6 linked regions of the Oryzias latipes genome follow. The protein of the gene in region 5 purifies or fractionates together with the protein of the main gene of each other region. This does not show direct contact. Links are inferred from orthologs where the notes say so. Each region holds a gene or a part of one and is shown on either strand. Other genes may lie near its edges.

Evidence for each region.
Region 1: the proteins of nop2 (region 5) and ftsj3 fractionate together in Homo sapiens (co-fractionation; 3 studies listed by BioGRID and IntAct, with this or other methods). This does not show direct contact. The link is inferred for Oryzias latipes from reciprocal best matches to the Homo sapiens genes NOP2 and FTSJ3.
Region 2: the proteins of nop2 (region 5) and nip7 purify together in Homo sapiens (affinity purification with mass spectrometry; 3 studies listed by BioGRID and IntAct, with this or other methods). This does not show direct contact. The link is inferred for Oryzias latipes from reciprocal best matches to the Homo sapiens genes NOP2 and NIP7.
Region 3: the proteins of nop2 (region 5) and rrs1 fractionate together in Homo sapiens (co-fractionation; 3 studies listed by BioGRID and IntAct, with this or other methods). This does not show direct contact. The link is inferred for Oryzias latipes from reciprocal best matches to the Homo sapiens genes NOP2 and RRS1.
Region 4: the proteins of nop2 (region 5) and nop56 fractionate together in Homo sapiens (co-fractionation; 3 studies listed by BioGRID and IntAct, with this or other methods). This does not show direct contact. The link is inferred for Oryzias latipes from reciprocal best matches to the Homo sapiens genes NOP2 and NOP56.
Region 6: the proteins of nop2 (region 5) and ebna1bp2 fractionate together in Homo sapiens (co-fractionation; 3 studies listed by BioGRID and IntAct, with this or other methods). This does not show direct contact. The link is inferred for Oryzias latipes from reciprocal best matches to the Homo sapiens genes NOP2 and EBNA1BP2.

The regions. Positions count from the first base shown.
Region 1 is NC_019862.2:9,092,113-9,096,287, reverse strand, and holds the start of ftsj3 (pre-rRNA processing protein FTSJ3), read right to left. Parts: upstream 2,801-4,175; 5' UTR 2,695-2,800; coding exon 2,628-2,694; intron 2,500-2,627; coding exon 2,394-2,499; intron 1,900-2,393; coding exon 1,853-1,899; intron 1,761-1,852; coding exon 1,681-1,760; intron 1,452-1,680; coding exon 1,352-1,451; intron 962-1,351; coding exon 767-961; intron 673-766; coding exon 557-672; intron 392-556; coding exon 287-391; intron 106-286; coding exon 5-105; intron 1-4. Other genes in the region: phospholipid-metabolizing enzyme A-C1-like, read right to left, coding at 3,149-3,250, 3,596-3,864.
Region 2 is NC_019861.2:25,703,565-25,707,698, reverse strand, and holds the start of nip7 (60S ribosome subunit biogenesis protein NIP7 homolog), read right to left. Parts: upstream 2,801-4,134; 5' UTR 2,692-2,800; coding exon 2,636-2,691; intron 2,534-2,635; coding exon 2,447-2,533; intron 2,369-2,446; coding exon 2,230-2,368; intron 717-2,229; coding exon 576-716; intron 1-575.
Region 3 is NC_019878.2:17,066,328-17,069,451, forward strand, and holds rrs1 (ribosome biogenesis regulatory protein homolog), read right to left. Parts: upstream 1,709-3,124; 5' UTR 1,639-1,708; coding exon 622-1,638; 3' UTR 501-621; downstream 1-500. UniProt on the Homo sapiens protein: Involved in ribosomal large subunit assembly. May regulate the localization of the 5S RNP/5S ribonucleoprotein particle to the nucleolus.
Region 4 is NC_019863.2:17,294,861-17,299,017, forward strand, and holds the start of nop56 (nucleolar protein 56), read right to left. Parts: upstream 2,801-4,157; 5' UTR 2,684-2,800; coding exon 2,681-2,683; intron 2,195-2,680; exon of another isoform or gene 2,176-2,194; coding exon 2,086-2,175; intron 2,000-2,085; coding exon 1,885-1,999; intron 1,627-1,884; coding exon 1,462-1,626; intron 1,246-1,461; coding exon 1,047-1,245; intron 735-1,046; coding exon 547-734; intron 494-546; exon of another isoform or gene 373-493; intron 305-372; coding exon 153-304; intron 1-152. UniProt on the Homo sapiens protein: Involved in the early to middle stages of 60S ribosomal subunit biogenesis. Required for the biogenesis of box C/D snoRNAs such U3, U8 and U14 snoRNAs. Part of the small subunit (SSU) processome, first precursor of the small eukaryotic ribosomal subunit.
Region 5 is NC_019874.2:20,213,824-20,217,323, reverse strand, and holds part of nop2 (probable 28S rRNA (cytosine(4447)-C(5))-methyltransferase), read right to left. Parts: intron 3,396-3,500; coding exon 3,158-3,395; intron 3,067-3,157; coding exon 2,867-3,066; intron 1,965-2,866; coding exon 1,875-1,964; intron 332-1,874; coding exon 244-331; intron 112-243; coding exon 1-111. UniProt on the Homo sapiens protein: S-adenosyl-L-methionine-dependent methyltransferase that specifically methylates the C(5) position of cytosine 4447 in 28S rRNA. Required for efficient rRNA processing and 60S ribosomal subunit biogenesis.
Region 6 is NC_019862.2:16,838,067-16,842,238, forward strand, and holds the start of ebna1bp2 (probable rRNA-processing protein EBP2), read right to left. Parts: upstream 2,801-4,172; 5' UTR 2,692-2,800; coding exon 2,596-2,691; intron 2,404-2,595; coding exon 2,320-2,403; intron 2,202-2,319; coding exon 2,038-2,201; intron 1,485-2,037; coding exon 1,361-1,484; intron 821-1,360; coding exon 731-820; intron 626-730; coding exon 550-625; intron 455-549; coding exon 364-454; intron 278-363; coding exon 115-277; intron 22-114; coding exon 1-21. UniProt on the Homo sapiens protein: Required for the processing of the 27S pre-rRNA.

The sequences.
Region 1 (4,175 bases), on a different chromosome or scaffold from region 5:
TTACCGCAGTTCTTTGCGGCCCAACACTTTGATGTCACGACAGCATTCCTTTATTTCGCTGCTGGTGGAAGAGTGGGACTCCAGGTCGGGACTGTCAAATTTGATCTGGGAGGACAGAGGAGGAATTAGCTTTAGAAAAAAGAGAAATCCTTCTCAGTCTGACATTAATAAAAGAAAAAACAGACTCAAGTGTCAGGTTATGGACTGTTTAACATCTCAGCTGGTGTCTTTAAAAGTGTAATTTTTAACTGACAGATGAATTAAGTGTTGCCTTCAGGGCGCTCACCTCGCTAGCTTTTCCCAGAAAGTCTACCGGATTTTCCGCTTTCAGGAAAGATGTCACGGTGAAACTGTGGTAAAGCGTCAAATCCCCATCTGTGTATCCCTCTGCCTACAACAACAACAACAACAGCGGTCTGATAAGTAATGAACGAGCATGACTTCTGCAGCGGAAGTCCCATGAAACAACGCTTCCATGATAAATCCAGAATGTCTTTACAACTTTACAGAATTTGCTTTAATAATTAAATCAACAGACACTCTTCCGGGAACTTGCCTTTGGTTTCTTGACGGTAATCAGATCCCTCACAGTTTTGGCTTGCACCTCCACCTCTTTGAAGGCATGTTTGGGGTCAAAGAACTTACCGTCTATTTTGTCTGGAGCTAGAAATCCTGGAAGGAAACAAAAAGCATGGATGTTCTCTGCAAATGCACAATAAAAACAGGAAGTCCTCCAGTGGAAAAAAGCTGTGCAGCAGACACTGACCCTGACAGACGACAAAGATCTCAGCGGACTCGTTTCTCGACGCCTGTGGCTTAGTGGACTGCACCTTCTTGAAGAACTGCTGGAAGATCCAGAGGAGGGGCTGATAGTCTTTAGACCGGAAGACCTTGGTGACAAAAGTGCCACCTTTGTTCAAAAACTCACAGGCCAACTTTAAAGCCATGAGAGTCAAGTGAGCTGAAAGTAAACAAACAAGAAACAGATCAGAGTTTAAAAAGATTGAAGTGAGCCGACAAACTTGTCAGGATGTGATGCTGCAGATACGGGTTTGCACATGTTAGAATTTTTAAAAAATAAATATTTTTTATGTCTGGAAAATATTGATCACATAAAACTAGAGAAATAAATGCAAATCATCCTCAACACAATTTAAAATTGAAGACAGCACTTCACATTAAAAGCTAAACATAATAAAAACTGTTAAAAACTAATTTCATTAATAAGTGAATAAGAACATAAAAAGCCAATAAAATGTAAAAAGTAGAGCAATATCTCATGTATGAACGAATGTTTGGCTATTAAAATGAATTTCACTTAAAAAACATGTATATTCCGGCCTCGTTTTACCTTGGGAGAAGGCGTCGTGTTGCCAGTTCGCTCCCACATTTGGGGCTCCATCATTTAACACGACGTCCACTTTCCACGTTTGAAGCTCCTTTCGTAGAGCCTGTAAGTGGAGAAGATGCATTCATGCCACACTGGGAGTTTTCAAAAGCGGAATCATCAGTTTTCTGTTGATTTTTTTCTTTACTAATTAATTCAATATTTAACAACTGAAAATGAGTGGGATATATCTGTTTTTTTTTTTATTGTATTATTCCATAATTTGTAACGCTCGACATAAACCAATCAAATCAGTTCTATCCGTGGAAATGAGAGCAGTATGTTTGCAGCACCTGTTTGCACTTCTCAGTGGTGATGTCCTCCTGCAGTGTCACTACACTGGGAATGGGTCTAATAGGAACCAGGTCCACACCTGAGAAAAACACAGAGGATCACATCATCTTTGGAACAGTTCAGTGAGCTCAGACTCAAAACCGCCGTTTGTGCTGATCATGACCCACTCACCAATGATGAGACTTGAAACAGGCATAAACTTGGATGCAACCTGTAACCTAGTGAACAGAAATACATTATTATACGAATTAGAATAAAAAAATGTACGTTTTACTGTAAATTTGATTCTTTTTCTTTGTAATCATCACCATCACGATTAAGAAATTTTTGATTTTAGAATAAAATGATAAAATGTAGTGATAAACCTTTTGAAAACAGCACAGAATCAACCTTTTTAATTTGAAGTCCCTACGGTCTGGTAGACAAACTCTTATTTGTGAGCATTTTATTGAATGTTTTTTTTTTTTTTACCTCTGTTCGTTTTTGTTTATAACACAAATGGACTTAATGTCTGCTAAAACCTTTCATTTATTTTTTGCGTCCAGTAGTTAGTTACCGAGCAAAGAAATAGAAGCTGTTATAATCGTGTTATCTGTTATTGCTAAGTTCCAGACCAGACGAAAATCACCGCGGTGATTTTTTTTAAGTGTGAAATTAATGGTGAGGAAAAAAAAGACAAGACACAAGTAAATGAAATCCTGAGCTTACTAACCATCCACCTGGAGCAGCGCACAGGTCGACCAAAGCTCTTGCTTTCTGCAAAAACTGGAACTTACGATTGAGCTGAATGAGTTTAAAGGATGAACGAGAGCGATAACCTGTAAATAAATCGTTAAGTAAAAGGTTATTTAACAGACTCAGTTAGAACACAGTTTCTGTTTAAATAGCCAGACTGCTACGTACGAGGGCTAACATTAAGCCCGTTACGTATACCAAATAAATATACCTGTTTCCTTTGCCAAATGGTAAAATTTATCTTTTCTAGTTTTTCCAACTTTTAGTTTCTTCCCCATATTTATCGCGGGATTGTTTTCTTCCCCAGCAAGAATCCACGAACAGGTAAAAAACTAAAACACGTGTTTACGTCCCGGCGCAGAAATTGTACGTCACGAACTTGTCTTCTTCTCTGTCAACATCCCTAGATGTTGAATCTGTATATAGTGTTTACCGCCACCTGCTGTTCGCAAAGCATCTTGCAACTTGACGTTGTGTTGCGTGAAACGTGTGTAAAGCAGAACATTAGACCGTACGGTCTAATATGGTCATCAGTTTTAATTCCTCTCTTTTTAAGTGAATAACCTAAAAACATAAATTTATGTATTTAAGTACACGGAATACAGGCAGTGTAGTTTTTAATCCTTAAACAACAAAGTCAGTTCCATTCTGATGAATACTTTATTGGTTTTGCTTTCAATAACAGCTGCATGATCGTTGAGAGACGACAGCCTCGGGTGAGGTTTGCCTCCGTCAGAAAGGTCTGTTTCTGGAACGCGTGTTGATCAGCCCCAGGACAGAGAAGGCGCTGGCTGCAGCCGTCACCACGCTGATGGCTCCAATGGCTCGTGAAGCCTGTGGAGCACAGAAAATGAACCAGGGATGATCAAACCAATGAGGCTAGAGCTCCAACGTACACATTCGTTTTATACCGCCCATCAATAATAAAGTGCAGCTCCTAATATGATAGTGTAAAAACATTATTTATTGGACTTCTTTATTGGTCATTTTCAGATGCCACCAGGAGGTTGACAGCAGAAGATGGTTTGGGAAAGTGACCAATCCTTTGCTCTGTGGTCTATTGGGACCTTAAATAGTATTCTTCATTTAGAAAGTAGCCACACATTGAACAGTTTTCCTTGATCTACAGATTGTTATTTTCCACTGGAGACACATAAAACAAAGCAGACAGTGGGAGACCTGTTCGGACACCGCCTGTCCATAGCGCAGAAGGGTAACAAAGTGCTCGCAGTTGCTCCCCAGCAAGTCATAAGACACCTCCTGGTCAATGAGGACTTGAGCTCGCTCGATGATCTCACAGATGGGGAGGGGAGTGTGGTTGTCGTCGTATTTGTTGTTGACGCGGTACGAGTCGCTGCCCACCACCTCCTTCAGCAGCTGCATGCGCACCACGGCCTTCCTGCTGAAGACGGACTTCACACTGGACATGGCGGCGGCCTGGCTCTCATCTGGAGGAGGGAAGAGCATAAGTGAGACAATGTCAGTTAAAATCACATACATATTTATTTAAACTGTTATTTGCTCAGTTCATCTATTTACTTTTTTGTTTGCACGTATATTTGGTGAGCTGTAATTTGTATTATCACTTGTTTTTTTGCAATTGCACAGTACGACTTCATGTTCATTAAACAGTTACCATTGAGACAACCATTGTTGTTGTAAATTGAATTGATTTTTTTCCTTCGAGCTGACAGGACAAGTGAGTTTCTCCCTATGAGATAATGAAAGTTCAATTCAATCCAAATGAGCAAAAGAAAAT
Region 2 (4,134 bases), on a different chromosome or scaffold from region 5:
ATTCTGATTTTATAAAATTGGAGAAACACATCTTATTCTGCTGCAGCTCTCTGCTTAAATAACAAATATAAGATAATACATGCAACTATGAGCAGAGTTGACGTGAAAAATGAAATGTGCAGACGGCAAAGCTTCAGCTGTGACATCATACTACCAGCTTTTGCCGTGACTGCCATAACAGTTTTGTTGATTCATATTTGAACAATAGAAAAATATGCCTTCGTTAAAAAGCCAGTCAGTAAAAAGCCATGCAAACGTTTAAAGAGCACCTGCCTTTCCTGTTATTCTGGTACTGGTTAATCTGACTAAAGAACGCTGTTCCAGAACCAGTATAGACTTCCTAATTCTAATCTGACCTTTTGAGATGAAGCACATTTTCATTTAACTCATTTTGAGCCAATTATGTACCTGGGAGCTAACTAAATATTGCTATTTCTGCTTAAATTTAGAAGGGAAAATAAAAATGTTAAAGCTGAATGAATGAAGTTGAGTTTATACTATTAGCTAAAAAAAAAAAAAAAAAAGTGTTTGTGACTAATGACCTTAAAGCCAAACAAGGAAATTCAAAGTCTTACCAACGGTACATCAGCCATGGAGTACACCACAACTCCTTGATACTGCATGGTGTTCTCTGTGATCCTTCCCAGCCCAGACTTCAACACATGGTTCCCATACAGGAAGGACTGCTCTGCTCCTGGTTTCACCCAAACCTTGAACTGAAGACAAGACCATTCTTTAGTTAATCACAAAGGACGAATAATAAATTCAATAAGGTACGCCTTCTTTTGAGATCTAAAAACTGTCTTAGAACCTCTTCCCCAACCCACCCCCTCCAAAATAAGGTAGGTAAGTGAAGTGTCCGTTTGAGGGAAAAGCCAAAAAAGGAAGTTATGCCTTAACTGATGGAAGTAGCACATGTGTGTGGTTTTACATAAAGAAGATGTTCCATGGCTTCTTTTGCTGAACTCAACTTTTTTGGGGTTTTGCATTTCCACTTATCTCAACAGTAAAATGATGCTAATGTCATTCTTAGTTCCCGTTTTCTACAAGCAATTGTTTCTCGCAGAAGAGCACAGACATGACTACTGGAGATGCAACAATATTTCCTTCCCTTTACCTACAGTTTAGTTCAAACTTTAATTATGTTTCAATTCAATATGATTGTTTCTTAATGATTCATTAAAGTACATTGTGTCTATAAATTATACTGAGTACTTAAATTATTTTTCTTTCAGAAACTGGTTTGATTTTGTTAAACCTACCCACATGTTTCGGTGGAATACCTTCCGCCTTCATCAGGGTCGACCCTGACGAAGGCGGAAGGTGTGATGATTGTTTATTACAAAAGAACAAAAAAAAATACAATCTTTTTTCTCATTTCCTAATAGGCAAGTAACAATAAAGAAAAACCTTTCAAGATGGCTTATTCTAAGCCTGGTGTAATGTAATAAAACAATAACTTCTTTAATTTAACAACAATTGTTTGGCCCTTTGAATGTAAACATACTGGTAAACAGCGAGATGTGGTTCAGTTGCAAACGGGGGAACTGTGGTATCCCTAATGACCACTAACATTTGAAGCCCTGCAACACTGTTAATCACATATAGGAGCATTTTCCCCCATAATGTAGGAAAATGTGACTTATGATGAGTTTACATCACAATAAATCTACTTCTGCATATAAAAAGGACCCCCCACACCCACCTCTACCTTTTTTTATTCATCCTCTTTTTTGATTTAGTTTATGCTCCTGTTAATCCATCATAAAGATATATAGGCAAGTAAAAATAGATTTAGAAACACATATCTACAGATTAAAAAAATACACTGTAATTAAAAAGGTTAAGGAATATATTTAAATTAATAAAATATGTGCTATTATACTGATTTGCTGCTTGTGGTGGTGGAGAAGACCTAACCAGAAGTCAACAAATATAGTACCTGCTGGGTAAGGACTGCTTTTATCAATAAAGTTACTTTTAGGACTGTTACATTTCTGTAATACTGATCCCCAACAAAAACTACAATAATCACTCAATGGCGCCACCATTTCATACCAGTTTAATATTTTTGTTTCTCATCCCTTTTGCTCACATAATTGCTTATAAAAGAATGAACAAATAATTGAATAATAATATTCCTGGCAGAGTGTTTAATTTTTTAAGAACTATCTTCAAAAAGAAGCATTTTTTTCTTCTGAGTTTGCGCAGTGACAACTTGTGTGTTACCTTTGCGTAAGGTGCCAGAAAATCCAGAGCGGTTATATGGAGACGAAACTTCTTAGTTTTTGTAAACTTTCCAAAGCAAGTTCCCACTGAAATGAGTTTGTCTCGAGAAAAGTTCGTTGCCAACTTAAGAATTTTCTCGCTGTGAAGAGAAAACGATGCTGCATCAACATCTAGGCTGAATTACCGCAAACAATCTTAGGTATTGATCAGGAAATACCTCATGTAGTACACTCGGTCATGGTGTAATCTGAAACAGTAGGTACCGTCGGGTCGGTCCACAAGAAGTTTGATGTTTTCTCCAATGCTTGAGGGGAAGAGAGAGGAAAAAACACATGGGACACACATGCTAACGGGCTAAAATAAACAGTAACTAATGTTAAACGTAGATGCATTAACAGTCACTTACTATTTCGAAAGCTTCTCGAACATCGCTTTTGTCTCCTCCTCCGTTAAAGGTCTCATAATTAGAGTTTAAAGCAAATCTAGGAGAATTACGTTTAAATATCGCAAGAAACGACACAACGTGGGTAAACTGGAAGTCGTCACGATCTAAAGCGGAAGTGGATCTACGTCAGCAGTGATAGCAGTTCCTGGTTTTTTTTTTCTGGCATTCTTCAGATTTCAGACACTTGTCATCTCTCTAGCGACCCGGCCACCCTCGGGTAAGTTTACTCTCCTGGTATTATAGTTATCCCGATGAAATTATTTCACACTTACATTTCGGTGTTTTTACGTTGATTTTGAAGCGACTGTGAAAAACAGGAGTCAAATTGAACGAAAACGGACTCAGTTAGCTTGCTAGGCTAGCTGTCAGCACAGAGAGAGAAAAAACCACAGACCTCGGGAGCGTTAGCTTACAGGTTAGCTGTGGCAGCTTGCTGGTTCTGACTCTTATTTTCTACATCCAATGAACTGAATTTATATTTAAAAACCATAGAGTCCGCACTATATACATTTTTGTTGTCAATGAATTGCTCCCAGCTGTGAACTGATTCGTACTGAAAGGAGATAAGGGCAGCAGGCGCTTTGCCGCAGCCATCCAAAGTTACATAATGTCCATTTGTTTGTAAATACCAATTAACGTTGGTTTAATCCGAGGTTTAGTGCTTTTCCACTTGACCTTTAGTGATAGTAGATTTCAAGAGATCACGGTTAAGCACAGCTCTTATTCTTGCTGCTGATTGAGACTCTGGGTGCTCAGCTCAATCAATGAAGTCTGCTGTCAGCTGCAGAGTCAGGAACACAACAATTTGGGAAGATATACTTGGTCAGCGAGCCCTCTGCTTCTGGCAGACATTTGATCCTCACGTCAACCCCTTTTTTTGTTGGGAACATTGATGATCAAGTCTTTCAGTTTTGGAATTTAAATGAAAATGCTAAACTGGGACCCTCTTGGTTAGGAGAGTAGAAATTTAAACTGTTAAATATCCTCTGTGCATTGAATGTAAAGTAAAACCATTCTGAGATATTTGTCTATTGTACTTCAGTGCTTGAAATAATCTTTAAATGCAAGGCACAGGCACAAGTGCAGATTGCCCCAGTTTCCCAATTTCTGACCTTGTACTGAGGCAAGCCTCCAGATAAGTTTTTGCCCTGAAAGGTTGTAAAAGTTAAAGCCTCAGTAAGGCTACAATGCAAAAACAAGCATTATGAGAATGGGAATGTACTCATTGTTGACCCTCTGACCTTAACGTTACATTGGAAAAGTTTTGTTGTGACTAATCATGTAGACGGTTTCTTTTCAGGCAGCGAATAAACACACAACACCCCACAATGTTGCATCATTGTTTTTTTGCTTTTTCTGATTTTACACACAGAACGTACAGAAAATGTGTTTTCACGTTCTAGTGGAGCCCACCGACCATCAGTTTGTGTCTGTGAATGAACCTCTGTTATTAAAAAAAA
Region 3 (3,124 bases), on a different chromosome or scaffold from region 5:
CTAGCGGTCTTTTCAACTATGACTATGCCGTTTTTAGGCTAAATAGAAAAATCAAATGCTGTTTTCTAGAGAAGAATTTGTGCAGAGCAGCAGTTCATCAGTAGGTGGAACTATTGCTGCAGAGTATGTCCACCCCCACTTTCCGTCATCCATGTTTACACGCTCTCCCACTAGATTACAGCGCCTCACATTTCTCTACATCTTTGTGTGCAAGTGGAGGCGGAGCAGGGAGACTTTGGTCTGCCCAGTTCAGTTTCTACGTTACAACTGAGGGATTTATCAAACAGCATTTTCTGTCTGCTCCTGATTCACAAGGATCTGAATAAAGAAATACTCAATAATGCAGTTTTAATCTAAAATTTCTTTATTTATGTCCTCCATCATGAGAAAAATGCAACAGAATTTCTTTTAATCTTAAAATTAGCTTTTCATTGGAAATAAGTTTTTTTTGAAAACCATATGACATTTATTGGAGGTAAAAAAAAACTGAAACGGCAGACTTTTGTATTTAAATTGTAGAATATATTTGCTTTTCTGTCAACAGTACAGTCAAAAAGCTATGGGGAGCAGGAATCGGTCCTCAGAGTTCAGCTCTGCAGCAGCAGGATGTAGAGAATTTCTTCAGCGCTTCCCAGGTTTCCCTCTCCTCTTCCCTCCTCCAGCTTTGCCTCCTTTTCCTTTGCCCCCCTTCCCCTTGGGCCTCCGGGTGGCTCCCCCTTTGCCTCCCTTCTTCCTGGACGCAGCCTCCTCCCTGTCCTCCTCTCTCATCTGTTTGTTGACGGCTTTGGTGATGTCCAGCTTGGGCCTCTTGCTGTCCATGACCTTCAGGAGCTCCAGCTGCTTGTGCTTCTCGCTGGAGAAGTCCCCGATGAGGGGCTCAAACTTCCTCCTCTTGCCTGCGTTCTTGGGGGGCTTCTCCTTTGGGAGGCGATCCTGGAACCTGCCCACGGATGCCGTGGAGGTTTTGGCCACGCTCACAGCTTTGCTCAGCTCGTCTTTGGATTGCTTGGCTCGGGGTAGCAGCCCCACACCGGGGTTTTTTATTTTCTGAGATCTGGCGACGTTCTTCAGTCTGTTGAACTCGTTCTTTGCCACCCTCTCCTTCTTGGCATGGGCGCGTTTGGCGAACTGGTCCTCGTTCGGGTCGGAGGTCTGCGGAACCTCGATCAGCCAGTCTTTGGTGTCGTCGTTGGCCCTCTTGTAGCCCCAGCGCCTCCTCCACTCCTTGGCCGTTTCATCCCACACCAGGTTCGTCTTCTTCTTCTTCTGGATGCCTTTCAGTTTGGCGAACTGCTCCCATTTCGTCGGGGGTTTGGGCTTCGGAGGAGGTTTCTCTCTGGGCAACCGGGTCGTCGGCTCCGGTAGTTTGGCTACGATCGCCTCCTCGACCCTCTCGGTCGGCACCTTCCAGATTTCGTTGATAAGAAGCTGCGTGTTGTCGCGGGCCAGCGACCGGAGAAAGTCTTCCTTATTCTGCTCTTTGAAGTCCCTGGACTCGATGCGGTTTTTGTCACAAGCTAGCAGGTTTCCCACGTCAAAGTCCAAATCCAGCTCCTTCTGGACGGAGATGGTCTTCAGTTTTTCAGCCTCCTCCTGTTCGGCTTTCGCTAACAGCTCCTCCACGCTGCACGCAGCCATGATTTCGACCACTACACACGTGGGGCAACAACAGGAGTCTTCTTCCGGGTCACGGTGTAGTTCATTGTCTCACCGCACGAGGCAGTGTTGCCTAATTCCCACCGGTAACCATCAGGGGGAAGTGTTGTTTTATTTTCTTGTATAATACAGAATTTGGCTGCCAGAGGGCAATGTTGTTCCACTAATTTGACATTTAAATTTGAATAAAAAACAAACAAATTAATGCAATGTATACAACTTGTTATAATAACACACACATAAAATACACTATATTAATAAAAAAAATCTAAATTCATGCCACATTCATGCAACATTTTTAAGCTCTTTTCTCTTTTTCACACCAATGAACACTAGGGTCAAGTTTAAGTTCAGTCTGTAGCCTTAGGGCGCTTCAACAGGTGGACTACAGACATCAAACCACAGATGATGACAGTCACAGAAGCTCCAGATGGGTGTATATACATTATTTAAAAAGATATATATTTAGCTAAACTAGACAGAAAAAAACATGTAAACGCATTTTTTTTGGGGTAAAAAGTCAGTTACAGTTCATCGGTGACAGTTCAACAAAATTTCAACTCTATGTGTCAAAATACAGTCAAGCTAAGAAATATGCAAAATTTTTCAAAATAAAACCATGTTTGCAATACTTGTTTTTGAATTTTATGGACATTCAGTTGTGATATTTATTTAAATACACATTTAAAGTGAGTTGGCATCGATAATTTTGGTTTCCTTCAGTTGTGTCACCTGGCAGAGCTTAAAATATTAATCTTTTAAAAAATATAAGCCTAATTTATCCCTCAATATTTTTTGTAGGTTACAAAACACTATAACTGCTGTCATTCAGGTGTTTTGGGGAACAGGAACTGCCTCGTATCTGATGCTTGCTTCATAAGAAACGGTCAATGTTCTTCCTTTTTTGTCAAATATTTTGTGAACTCAAACAGTGAAAAATTACAATAAAACCCCCCAAAATAGCATTCAAAAGTCTGAACATGGCCTAAGAATAATATAATGTCATGCTTCCAAAGTTCTAAAATCCAAACGCATGTTAATAAAGACATGGCAATCTCCAAAATGCACCCATCAACAGGGAACTCAAATGGCTAAATGACCAAGGCAGGACAGGAGCATCCATGCATGGAATATAAATACAATATATAATGTTAGCCAAATGGCTACAATACACACCTGACTAAGGGAATACTTGTTCTCAGAAAAAAGGTAAAACTTCTATGACTTTTCTTGCCAATATTAATATCAAAAAATAATTTTACACATCTAGCCATCCATTCTTTTTCTTGCTTTAACCCTTTCTGGGTCATGGGGATGCCGTAGCCTAACCCTGCCACTGTTGAACGAAGGTGGGACACACCCAGGACAGGTCGCCAGTCTGTCGCAGGACACTTTTGCAAACACCTTCTTACAATAACTGTCATGATAAATGGTGCTCATCATATGATGCTTCACTACCTTAATTGAA
Region 4 (4,157 bases), on a different chromosome or scaffold from region 5:
CGGAACAAAATTCTGAAACTCTGAGCTTAGGAAAATGTGCAGAGGACCATCAGCACCGATGTAGTTCTCATCACACGGATTCAGGGGATTGACAGATTTTGGCAAAACATCATTGGTCCAAGAAACAGACAGAGACACAAGCGTTTCCTCACCACTTCTCCAATCAAGGCTGCCAAGTTTGGAGCGACCTGCGACATCTTAGAGCGCAGATACTCCTGCAGCCCCTGGCGATACGCAGCCAGGGACACAACACGGTTGGAAAACCTCTCAATGTTGATCAGGTCAATTGGAGAGATGTCCATTCCTGAAAGGGAAAAGACGATAGCTATGAACAAAGAAAAGGACCAGTTTGTATTTTGAGCTGCACTGTGGGATTGTTTCTCCCGACAGGATCCGCAGTGAGGAGGACACGCCTTCACTACAGGTTTATGAGAGATATCATCTACCCCCCTGTGTTAGGCACCCAGGACGATTATCGGTCCAGGGTGGGCATAAAAGGGGCTTATAAGATCAACGCTACAGTAGGGTACTGGCTTAAATTCTGACCCATAGAGGAGCGAGACGCCTCCAGAATGGCCTGAGCTTTGGCACTGTCCATCACCACCTCCTCCAGGCTCTCCAGCTTCTCCTCTGTGAGCTCCTTCCTGTTGCCAATGAGCTGGGCCAGGCGGCAGTACATTGAGTTCTCTGAAACGATCTTGATCAGCTCCGGGAAGTGGTAGCCATACCATTCCCTGGAGTGCACAAGGAAACAAACTATGAATATCCTGTGTGATATAACCCTTCAAAACTAAAATGCACACGTTAGGGAAAAACCAGACAGGGAAATGTATCCCCCCAAACAGTGTGGCGTTACGAGATGTCAGCAAGTACCGCGCAAATGTTAGGAGAAGGCTGATGTACCTCCTGTTTCTATACAGACAACACTCTGAGGTGCACTGTCTGTGGTAAGCATTAGGAGGACACTTTATCTTTCAAACTTTTATAGAATTTAATTCAGTTTTACCCTGGAACCAAAACAAAAACATCCTAAACAACCAGCTTACCGCACACGCATGGAGAAAGTGTTGATGTCTTTATCCAGCTGATCCAACAAAGCAATGGACTGGATGATCATGTTGTCAGCCCGATTCACGTTAAACTTGACCTTCGCTCTGGAGTAGCTGTGACCCAGACCAAGCTGTGCCTTGGAGGCGGCGAGAGAGGTCAGACCCTTCACCAGAGAGTGGAAGTGAAGGCGAATACCTGCAAAGTGAAAGCAAACAGGAGGGTTTGTGGGCGCAAAAGGAAACTGCCACAAAACCGGAAACATCTGGGGGCTGTTCAGATTTTCAGTATAAACCATCACAAATGTCAGGATCAAAAGTGCATCACAACAGACCACCCCTTTTTATATTAACATTCACAGTAATAAAGTAATAACTGAGTTCACGTCTGTATTCAAACAAAGACATAACGCACCTCTAGTTATCTCAGCCACCACTCCACCGGTTTGTATGGAGATGTTCAGTTCTTCTTGCAGCGCAGCTCCGATCTTGGCATCAGAAACCCCTAAAGACGGCTTCTTCTTTCCAGATAGAGCAAGGTTTGTCTCCAGAAACAGCTTCAGATCAGCATGAACGACGCCTGCATTGGAAAAAACATCGCAACCTTTAGCAAAAACACAACCCGTAATCCAACCATGCAGCCAGCAAACACTTCTTATGCACCAGGAAATAGTCTTAATCACTAAAAGATGCATGAATAAACTCAACTTTTCCCCAGATGTTCAGCAGTAACATAAAAATATCATCACATTTTATCAGTGGATTGACAGATTGTAAACCATCATTACAGCTGAGAATCTTAAAAAACAAACCCATTCAGTAAATAAATACGACTTGCCTTCAGAAATTGCGTTGATGTTCTCCAGGGCGGCCTGGGCGGACTTGAAGGGGAAAAAAGCAGCCAAGCTCACCATGCTGTTGAACTTCCCGATGCTCAGCACGCTCTCCTCCACCTGCGACGGACACACAGACACCGTTCACCGCTCTGATCCACTCCCGACAACACACCAGACCGGGACACGCAGGAGAACAGGCTCACCTGGGGGAGAAGCATGCCGATCTCCTCCACCTCCTTCACGGCGAACAGCGCGTAGCCCGCCGCGTGCTCGAACAACACGTGCAGCAAAACCTGCGAAAGGTACATTTAAGTAAGTAACAATAAATCCCTTTAAGATTTATCCCAAATGACATTTGTAGTAAAAGTGGTTTTATTGCAAGTTGATTTAGGCAGATATGAATTACTTTAAACTGGAACCACGTGGTGGCTTGTCGAACCCACGTGTTTGACCTGGGCCCAGGCAAACTTGCTATTAAGCTAACTAATGCTAACTGCTTAGCGATTACCCCTTCACGCGGTTTTAAAATCCTTCAAACTCTGTATACATAATATATTTTGACTAACACAGCTGTTCATGTACCTTTTCACCAATTCAGTCTGTGGCTGTTAAAACAACTTTAGACACTCCCGCCTATTCTTTCCGCACAGGCGGCTAGCCGCAAAAAACGGTCGTCATTTTTTCCCTTGACTTTTTAAACGTCATTTGAACAAGTACAAGGGGATTTATCGCCTCTGCGTAGCTTCAAGTTGTTTCTTCAGAATAAAGGTGGCGGTGCACAAGAGTCATTTATCTTACCATGATGGCTAAATCTGCGCAGCGGCACACAACGTGTCTGCTCCGCTGCTTCCACACACGAAAAGAGAGCAGAAAACTTTGACATGACCCACATCTCGCGAGATTATACTGGCTCCTCCCTCTCCGCCTTTCTTTCACAGCTGCTGCGAGCTTGGCTTCACCTCTTGTTCACAATTATGGCACCTCCGAATTTTTTTATTGATCATCAACCAGTGCATTACATCACATTTTTTATTTTTATTGGAGTATTTATTGAATTATTTATTTAAAGCATCAAAATATAGGAATAATACAATAGAAATGACAAAACCTATATATATCTAAATTATTTCAGATTTGAAGTAATACGTTAATTAGAAAGTAAAGAAAAATAACCAAAGATAAAAGAAAATGGTGCCATCTCATTTTCTTGAAAGTGTAATAATCACAAATAAACATCTTTGCAAAAACAGTATACACAAGTCTATTCAGATTCATTCATCTGTATAGAAGTGTCTACTCACATTTAAGTCACACATTTTTTATCAAGAAGCTTTTTCAGTAAAAGTAATCATTGGAAATCATTTTGCATGGGCTTTGGACAGGCTTGGACAAATGTCATATTTTCCTCTGAGTCTTTCCAGTCTAGTATTTTTTATTTAATTTCTTCATTTAGGTATTTTATGGTTAAATTGCTGCTTACTCATTTTTTACACTAAATTGCTGCATGTCTTTTAATCACTAAAAGCACTTTTATTTGCTTTTATCAAAGCTACTTTCAAATCTAACTGTCCTAAGTTGATTAAAAGGTACTTCGCTTAGAAACATATTGTGGACAAAAAAAGGTAAAGAACTATTCTTTTGGACAGAAAGTAACTAAAGATGAAATGTTGCTGCAACAATGGAAAAATTATTTTAAATGTATTTTAATCCGAAAAATGCATTTTTTCTTCTTGAAAGCTTTTCATCAACAGGAGTGTTGAGATTTAATTATTCAAACACAGACCTGACACTCCAAAGAGACTAAATTACTGAAAATATAAAGAAAACACTAATCAGCAAAACATGTTTATTTGCAATAAAATACAATTATAAAACATATAAAAACTGTATAAGGCAGGTTGCATTACTTGCTGAGAAAAAAACTATTAGTTGGTCCAACTTTTACATCAAAAATGTGAATTATATCATGATTCTTTAACAGAAATATGACAAACGTTTAAAAAGCTACAAAGAAAAAATGAGCAAAACCAACAATAATGAATGAAAACAAAAATGGGAAAAAAGGACATCAAAATGGATGTGATTTATCTTTTTCACGTACTTTAAACATTATGAGGAATATCTTTTTATACAGGATAGTTCAAATTCCTCAGATGACTAAAACCAGGATTTCTGTACCGTACAACTGTACAATAAATAAACTGCAAGTGCAAAGTGATGGAAAAATGTAAAAAGGTTTCATGTGTCAACGTGTTAACGTGTTTTTACTACACAG
Region 5 (3,500 bases):
AACTCATGTCCAGCACCATCTCTCCTTCCTGTGGAGAAAGAGCCATGACAGGCAGAAAGCTGGAGGCTCCCTGCAGCATGTAGTGACCAGCCAGATACTCAGGGGTCGCACCTGCACAAAAACACACACACACACACAAGGTGAAGAACTGAAGCAAAATGTTTCTTAGCTGCAGTCAGTCTGAGACACTCTTCAATAAAGACTTGATTGACTTAAGTTCTGAGCACTAAAACAGAAACTCACCAACTGGAACAGATGAGTCATAGATAACCAGTCCAACTTTAGACCATTTCCCAATTGGATCAAGGTTAACCCCTCTGTTAATCAAAGCCTGAGCAAGAAAAAGTAAAACAAGGTCAACATTTGACACTGGTTTCTGCAGAACATGCACATGCAAATCTTAAAAAAACTTAACACATAAGTTTCATTTAAGTATTTAGGTGGTTTTCTTCTTGCAAGACTTATTGTCAACTTTAGGCCTCTAGGAAGAACATAAACACATTTAACCAGGAAGAGTGTCCACCTGGGGGAGAATTTGGGTTTTAATACCCAGTTGGTTTTAAAGCTGCGTCCACACTGAACACAATTTGCACGTCAAATTCGCATCGGATGCCTCTCCTTTGACGCGCATTATATTCACTGCTCAACACTTGTCAAGAAATTGTTTTCCTAAGTTTGACGCTCCAGACGTGTGTGGGAGGAGCTACTGCCGAGTTTTCTGGACTTCATTTATTGCATTATCATGGAAAACATGGACAATGTTGAGTGAGTAGCTTGGGTTTATATGTTTTGGAGAGCTCGGCAAGGGTGTGTCCAAACTCCAGGGCTGCGTCCTTCAATGGCCGCGGCCTTCCCCGGCGACGTCGGCCGGATGTTAGCTGCCGTGAATTTGGACGAGTCTAGCCTTTAAATAATTCCAGCCGTTACATCAGCGAATGTCCTGTCGCCTAGCAACTGTAAGTCCCAATCAGAGAGGAGTAGTGAACCAGGCATGGAGTTGAAAATTTTCCTGGCTTATTTGATCCGACTTTCAATCTAGTAGGTGTAATTATAAAAAGGTGTAATTATCTCCAAGTCCGCCATTGTTGTGAGAAAATCTATGGGTTCGGCCGCAATGCATCTTGGGATACATCAGACCAATCCTTGGTCAGGAAAAAGTTGGCCGTATTCGTTGGCCGCGTTTGAAGGAATCGTTGAATTTAGACAGCACTTGTCGGAGCGCTGTGACGTAAGCAGACTACAAATGCAGCCCAGGAAGAACGCAGCCCTCCAATTTGGACACACCCATAGAATTTGCTTTGATTTAGATCTAGACAACTTCCTCCTGTACATCTGCTCACAATCATTTTGTTATTATGCACATTTGTCAAACCGTAACAGGCAAATTATTTTATTCAGAGAGGATCAGGAAAATTTGCAGCCTGTCGAAACAAAGTTCTTTGTATTTCTGAATTAGTTAGATCAATATTTAACCTCAGAGGTCCTGTGTCATTGACTAGCTTCTTCCTTAACCCTCCAACACCTGAGATGTCACCAGCACCACACGCTCTTTGACACAGACCAAATCTTCAACTGTTTACGTGATCAATGTGAATCACCTGATTCTGACGTGGAGAAAAGCAGCTTCTCATATCGGCTTTGCAACAATGTGCAACACACTACTAATATAAAATGCTGTATATGACCACAAGGCTGCTTTTCTGTGCTTCAGAGTCCACTGGAATTGTGTTATTTGTGTGATCGGGTAAAGAGTTACGATAGCCTAAAGAATGTAAACACTGGAGCTTTAGCTTTTTAACAGGTGAGGACAGATGCGTCCTCTACTACCCGCTTATGAGGTAATCTAAGATGCTAAATGTCTAAAGGTAAGTTACCTGTGCAAGGTCCCGCCTTCGTGTTTTCAGCGTGTTGGTCCGAATTGTGACAGGTCTCTGAATTTCATTGGCTTCAAGGAAATCAACCAGCTGTGAAACAACAACAAACCTTTTAGGCATAAAACTTTCAACCAAACATCAACAACTCTGTGTCTAATATTGTAGTAGGTTTAGGGGATGTCATCTGGACTTGGTTTTAAAGTTGGAAGACGTTTCACCTCTTATCCAAGAGGCTTTGTCAATTCTGGAATAGCTGGTCTAAGAGCTGGTATATATGTGCAGCTCCTTCAGCGTCAGACTGAGACATCCTAAGTGTCTGAAGGAGCGACACCGCAGGTCGTTTCTACCTGCTGCCGTTAGACTGTACAACCTTAACTGCTCCCAGTGAACCACGTTAACCAACATCATCGGCTCTGTCATATTTCTTTTATCCTGTGCAATAACCGATATATGGTCATCCTGTGCAATTTTTTTTTTATTTTTATTTTTTGGAAATGTATGTGTATATTGTGTATATATGTGAGTATATTGACTCCATAGTTTGTTTCTTTTATATATTGCTCTCTCTCTCTGCACTGTACTGCTGCCGCAAAAAAGGAAATTTCCCCATCGTGGGACGAATAAAGGAATATCTTATCTTATCTTATCTTATCGTTAATAGTCCTTTGTCCTCAGCTGGGGGTTGGGGAGTCAGTGACTCGCTCTCCACATTGGTCCTCTCTTTCCCGACCCGAAACCACATAGGCTAAGTGGACAACACCTCCAGTTTCAGGTCTGACTCCTCCCCCATGAGCGCATATATACCAGCTCTTAGACCAGCTATTCCAGAATTGACAAAGCCTCTTGGATAAGAGGTGAAACGTCTTCCAACTTTGAAACCAAGTCCAGATGACATCCCCTAAACCTACTACAATGGAACCAACCTGGATGAATGAGAGTCTTCATAGATCTGTGTCTAATAAACAAAAACCCTGAAAGTTCAAAGAACTCACCTCAGAGAGAGGAAAGAGTTCCATCAGTTTGTCGATGAGGAAGCTGTTGTAGCTGTAATAGGTGCAGAGATCTTTCTTGAGGAGAGAGACATAGTCTCCTCGGGCTTTGCCCTCCTCCCTTTTTGCTGAGAAGTTACAGAGAACATCCACGTTGTCCTTTATTCTCTGATGGATGGTCTTCAGGTCCAGAGACAGCATTCCTAAAGGTAGATATGATGATTAGGGTGGCTGTGAAGAAAGTCATTTCTAGTTTTTGGTTCGATGTTTCTGCAGTAGATAGAAATACCCCACCCTCTTTTTCACTCTCCTCTGGATCCGGCAGCCGGAATCTGTCCACCTCATCTGTGTTGGTTTCTAAGGTGCCGTCCTCATCCATGTCTTCGTCTTGCTGTTCATCTTTTTCGTCCCCATCATCTTCCTCCTCCTCCTCTTCTTCATCATCATCATCGTCATCATCATCTTCACTCCCAAGGTCCATTAATTTCTTTTGCTTTTTCTCCTTTTTGGCTGCACGTTCAATTGGAAGAAGCTGATTGCAGAAAAAAATATTTCTTTAAATTCACAACAATGATTGTCGGGTTACAAAAATTCATTCTTTCTGCTTTTCAAAGGATGAAAGTGTTTCTACAGCAGA
Region 6 (4,172 bases), on a different chromosome or scaffold from region 5:
CACAGATTTGCCGGGACGTTTCTGAAAGCCCAGAAGAAAAATTCGGGTTACATCAACTTGACAAATTATTTAACGATAAATAAATGCATCTTTGGTTTTGTCTGTGTGGCTCACGTTTTGTTTTCCTTGTTTGCCCTTCTTTCCTCCCTTGGCGTGCGCCACTCTGGCTTTGAAACCAGAAACATCGTTGTAGCTCTCCTTGGTGTTCCACTTCTTCCCGCTCTTTTTGCCTCCAAAACCAAACTTTTGGTCCTTGTATTTCCGCTTAGCACTGGGGCTGAAGAATCCAAGGGAAAACCAGAGGAATTTAGAGAAAATATGACAGAAGCAAAAGAGGAAAAAAGCAGAGGGGAGAAGCTTTACCCTTTTTTGTTCACTGCTTTACTGGGACCTCCTGAAGAATTATTACCCATCTTCTGGTCTCCTTCCAAAAAGTCCAGTTTATCTGACATTCCTGGAATAAGAAAATGTAAAAGAATGCATCAGATTTGGCATTTAACAATTACAAAGTACATATCATGGCCACAGAAACAAAACCCAAGTCCTCACCTTTCTGGTATTTCTTTACAGCAGACATCATAGCCTTCTTCTCCTTCTGTCTCTTCTGGATCACCTCTATTTGGACCTGGCAAACAATCAGACAGAGGTTCCCTCACCATTTGGAGCACAAACACGTCTTCGTATCTACAGAGTGAGAGGCGGTTAAGAACAAGTCTCAGCAAAAACAAACCTTTTTGCCAAATTTCCGTTGCTCCCGCAGTTTCTTGGCCTTTTCAGACTTTTCCAAAATCATCTGCTTTGCGGTCAGCTTCTGCCTGATCTGGAAAACAAAAACAAAACAAAACAGGTTTGTTCCTGTTTTCCAACTCCTGTAAAGTAAAAGACTGCATTTTGTTCACAAACCTATTACAGGGTCTCCACAGATTTACAGAAGTGAATTTGAAAACCTTCTAAAGAACAATTAAAACCTACAAATCCGTACAAAGAAAATGAAACAAACAGCTGGAGTCTGGCTATTTCTTTCTCTACACATGCGTTTTGATCCGCTTGACCCTTTCTGTGCCACATCTATGTCTTTCAGCAAACTGTGCAGTTTGCTATAGTAATTACTAACAATCAACACAAGTAATCCATATTTTTCAAGCCATTTCTTCATGAATTTGCATCTTCCTAAAGCTTTTTAGTCTTTATGGGTCCACAGCCATCCATATTACAAAGGTCCAGCTTAACTTTTCTATCAGACATCTGCTACAAATAAACAGAAAGCCACATTCCTGCCAAGTACTATCCATGATTAATGTTTGGAGCTTAGAACATGTTAGAAAGCACACCCCCTTTAGCATGAATGAAAGCAAGTCACCTTCTGCATGTGCTGATCGGACTTGGCCATTTCTGCAAAGTAATCATCAGGCCTTCTGGTGTTTATGTCATGCTTCCTCAGGAGAGGGAGGGCCTCCAGGACTGTGGCTTGAGCTTGACGGTAACTGTAAAAGAAAACAAAACAAATGACATCATCAGTTTAAACAGCCATCACTTCAGTTTAACACAAACACACAAACCTGGTCATTTGTTTTTCCTCATTAGATCAAAACTTCAATAACTCTTTTTTTTCCCGTTTCTGAAAACTGTAAATGGTTGCTTTAAAAAAAGTTCCTTTAAAGAAAAAAAAGCTGTAGCCTAGAACACCATATGACCATTACAAAATCCTGTTACAAAATATTCCCACCGGTGATTTAAAAAAAAATTCAAATCTGAATCCTGAGCTCAATATTTTGAAATGTCATTTTATTAGAAAAAAATAAAAACACGCATGATGTGTTTTTACCAGCACCAATGTCAGGTTTATTGGGTGTGTGGAGTATCTTTAGTCAAAGCTCTAAATTAGGATCAACAATGACATGCAGTCGTACAAATGTGTAAGAACAAATTGCAGATTGCAATTATGACAGGGTAAAGAAATGTTTTGCAAATGTGATAACCGAACCCAGATTATGATAATACTTTGAACCCGAGGTCTAGAACACAGTGGTCACTTACAAGAACATCTCCCTCTGGAAATCATCCTCTGCATCCGGTCCTCCATTTATCTCAGCAGGAACTTTCCCTTCCACTTGGGATAAGACTGGAAGAGTGCTGAGGTCTAACCTTTCCACCCAGGAGAGGTCTTTCCGGAAGTCAGCAAGACACTCTTTTAACCCCTCCTGCAGCCATTAAACATGTTCACATAAATGCACTATAAATAATACACTTTTTTTCTCTTAATTTAAGAGTAGTAGCTTCATCACAGGTGTAACTAAAACTGTAAGAAAACCAACTTACCACATTGTTTACCAATTTCTTAGATTTATCCACCAGAACGTTCATTCCAGGTTTCAGCAACCCTTTGGTGAAGGCTTCCTGAAGCTACAGTTAAATAAATTAATACATTACCTTTCGTAAATTAGAATAATCACTTAGACCAAATCTTTCAGAGACAATAACTTTAACCAATTTTTTAAAAAAGGGGAAAACAAATCCCCAAAGCGTACATCATATAATGATAACTTTTAGCTGAACAACTATCAGAGCTTGAGTCCGGTTAGCATAAAAACTCACCTCTCCATCCGATAACTCGCTGCCTTCTTCCTCTGAATCCAGGCCGAGAAGCGACTCCTCTTCTGCAGACTCCATCGTGTTTACGGCTATAACCATAAAGAGGGCAAATCTTTCCAAACAACCAAGAAAAGTTAATTGTTTTGGACGCTTCGATTTTCCTCACGTGTACTAGCGTTCACGCGGGGAGAAATGACGTCATCGGAAGTTCTACAAGCAGAGTGCGCCGGTGGAAAACTGCGATCAAAACAAAAGGTTCCTACAAAAAGAAAATACATTCCACTGTTACACTCAAGAATAATAATGCAATGGTAATTTATTTATTATCAAGGTTGTTCATTTATTTATTTTTTCCCAAATTAAAATATTACCCGCAGTTTCAACCGGCAGAAAAAGAAAACAAGGTGAAACCTAAGTGTCTTTCAAATTCAGCTGGAGAGAGCCACCAAACATGTTAGTGTAAAACAAAAATGTAAAAAAATTATTATTATTATTATTATTATTATTATTATTATTATTATTATTAATAATAATAATAATAATAATAATAATAATAATAATAATAATATCATTATCAGCATCATCATTATTGCTGCACGGTGGAACATTGGTTAGCGCCCGTGCCTCACAGCAAGAAGGCCCCCGGTTTAAGTCCCGGCTGGGGGACCTGAACCAGAACACCAATGGGGGACCTGTTTGTGTGGAGTTTGCATGTTCTCCCCGGTTTTCTCTGGGGTCTCTGGCTAGGTTAATTGGCAACTCTAAATTGTCCCTAGGTGTGAGTGTGAGAGTGAATGTGTTATTGTGGCCCTCCAAAAGACTGGTGACCTGTCCATGGTGTCCCCTGCCTTCGCGCACAATTGGCGGTGATTGGCCTCTGGCATCCTGTGACCCCAAATTGGGACAAAACAGAAGAAGATGAATGATGAATGAATGAATAAATGAATGAATCATCATTATTATGGTTGGACTTCCCTATGTGGAGTATGCATGTTCTCCTCGTCCATTTGTGGGTTCCCCCAGGGACTTATGCTTCATAGGTTAATTGGTTACTCTGTCCCTTGGTGGGAATGGGAGTGTGTGTGGGATTGTGGCCCTGTGTCAGACTGGTGACCTGCCTTTCACATAAGTGGCTGGGATAGGCTCCAGCAGCCAAGCGACCCCAAAAGGGATTTAACGGTTTTAGATGATGAATGAAAGAATTATTATTATTATTGCTTTTGTTATTGTTGTTGCTGGTATTCTCAAAAAACAACACACACACCCGAAGACAAGAGAGCGTTTTCCTGACATTGACTCCATGAGCGTTCTCTATCTGCTGTACTGTGCGGGTGTTGAGGGGTCCCGGCTGCTGCCGCTGCTGCGGTGGGGGCCTTGGTGGGGGGGCGGCTGGGCTCTGTCTCTCTTTTTACATTCCATCATCCACCCCAGAAGAACATAAACACTCACTCGAGCACAGGTGCTATCTCACCTTTGCACAAGTTTGCGTGACTGAATGAAATGTTTCACATGTGTTAGTCTGAATGCATAAGTATGCGTGTGTGAATGTAAGTGGTATCCATGTAGACTTATTTGTGTGT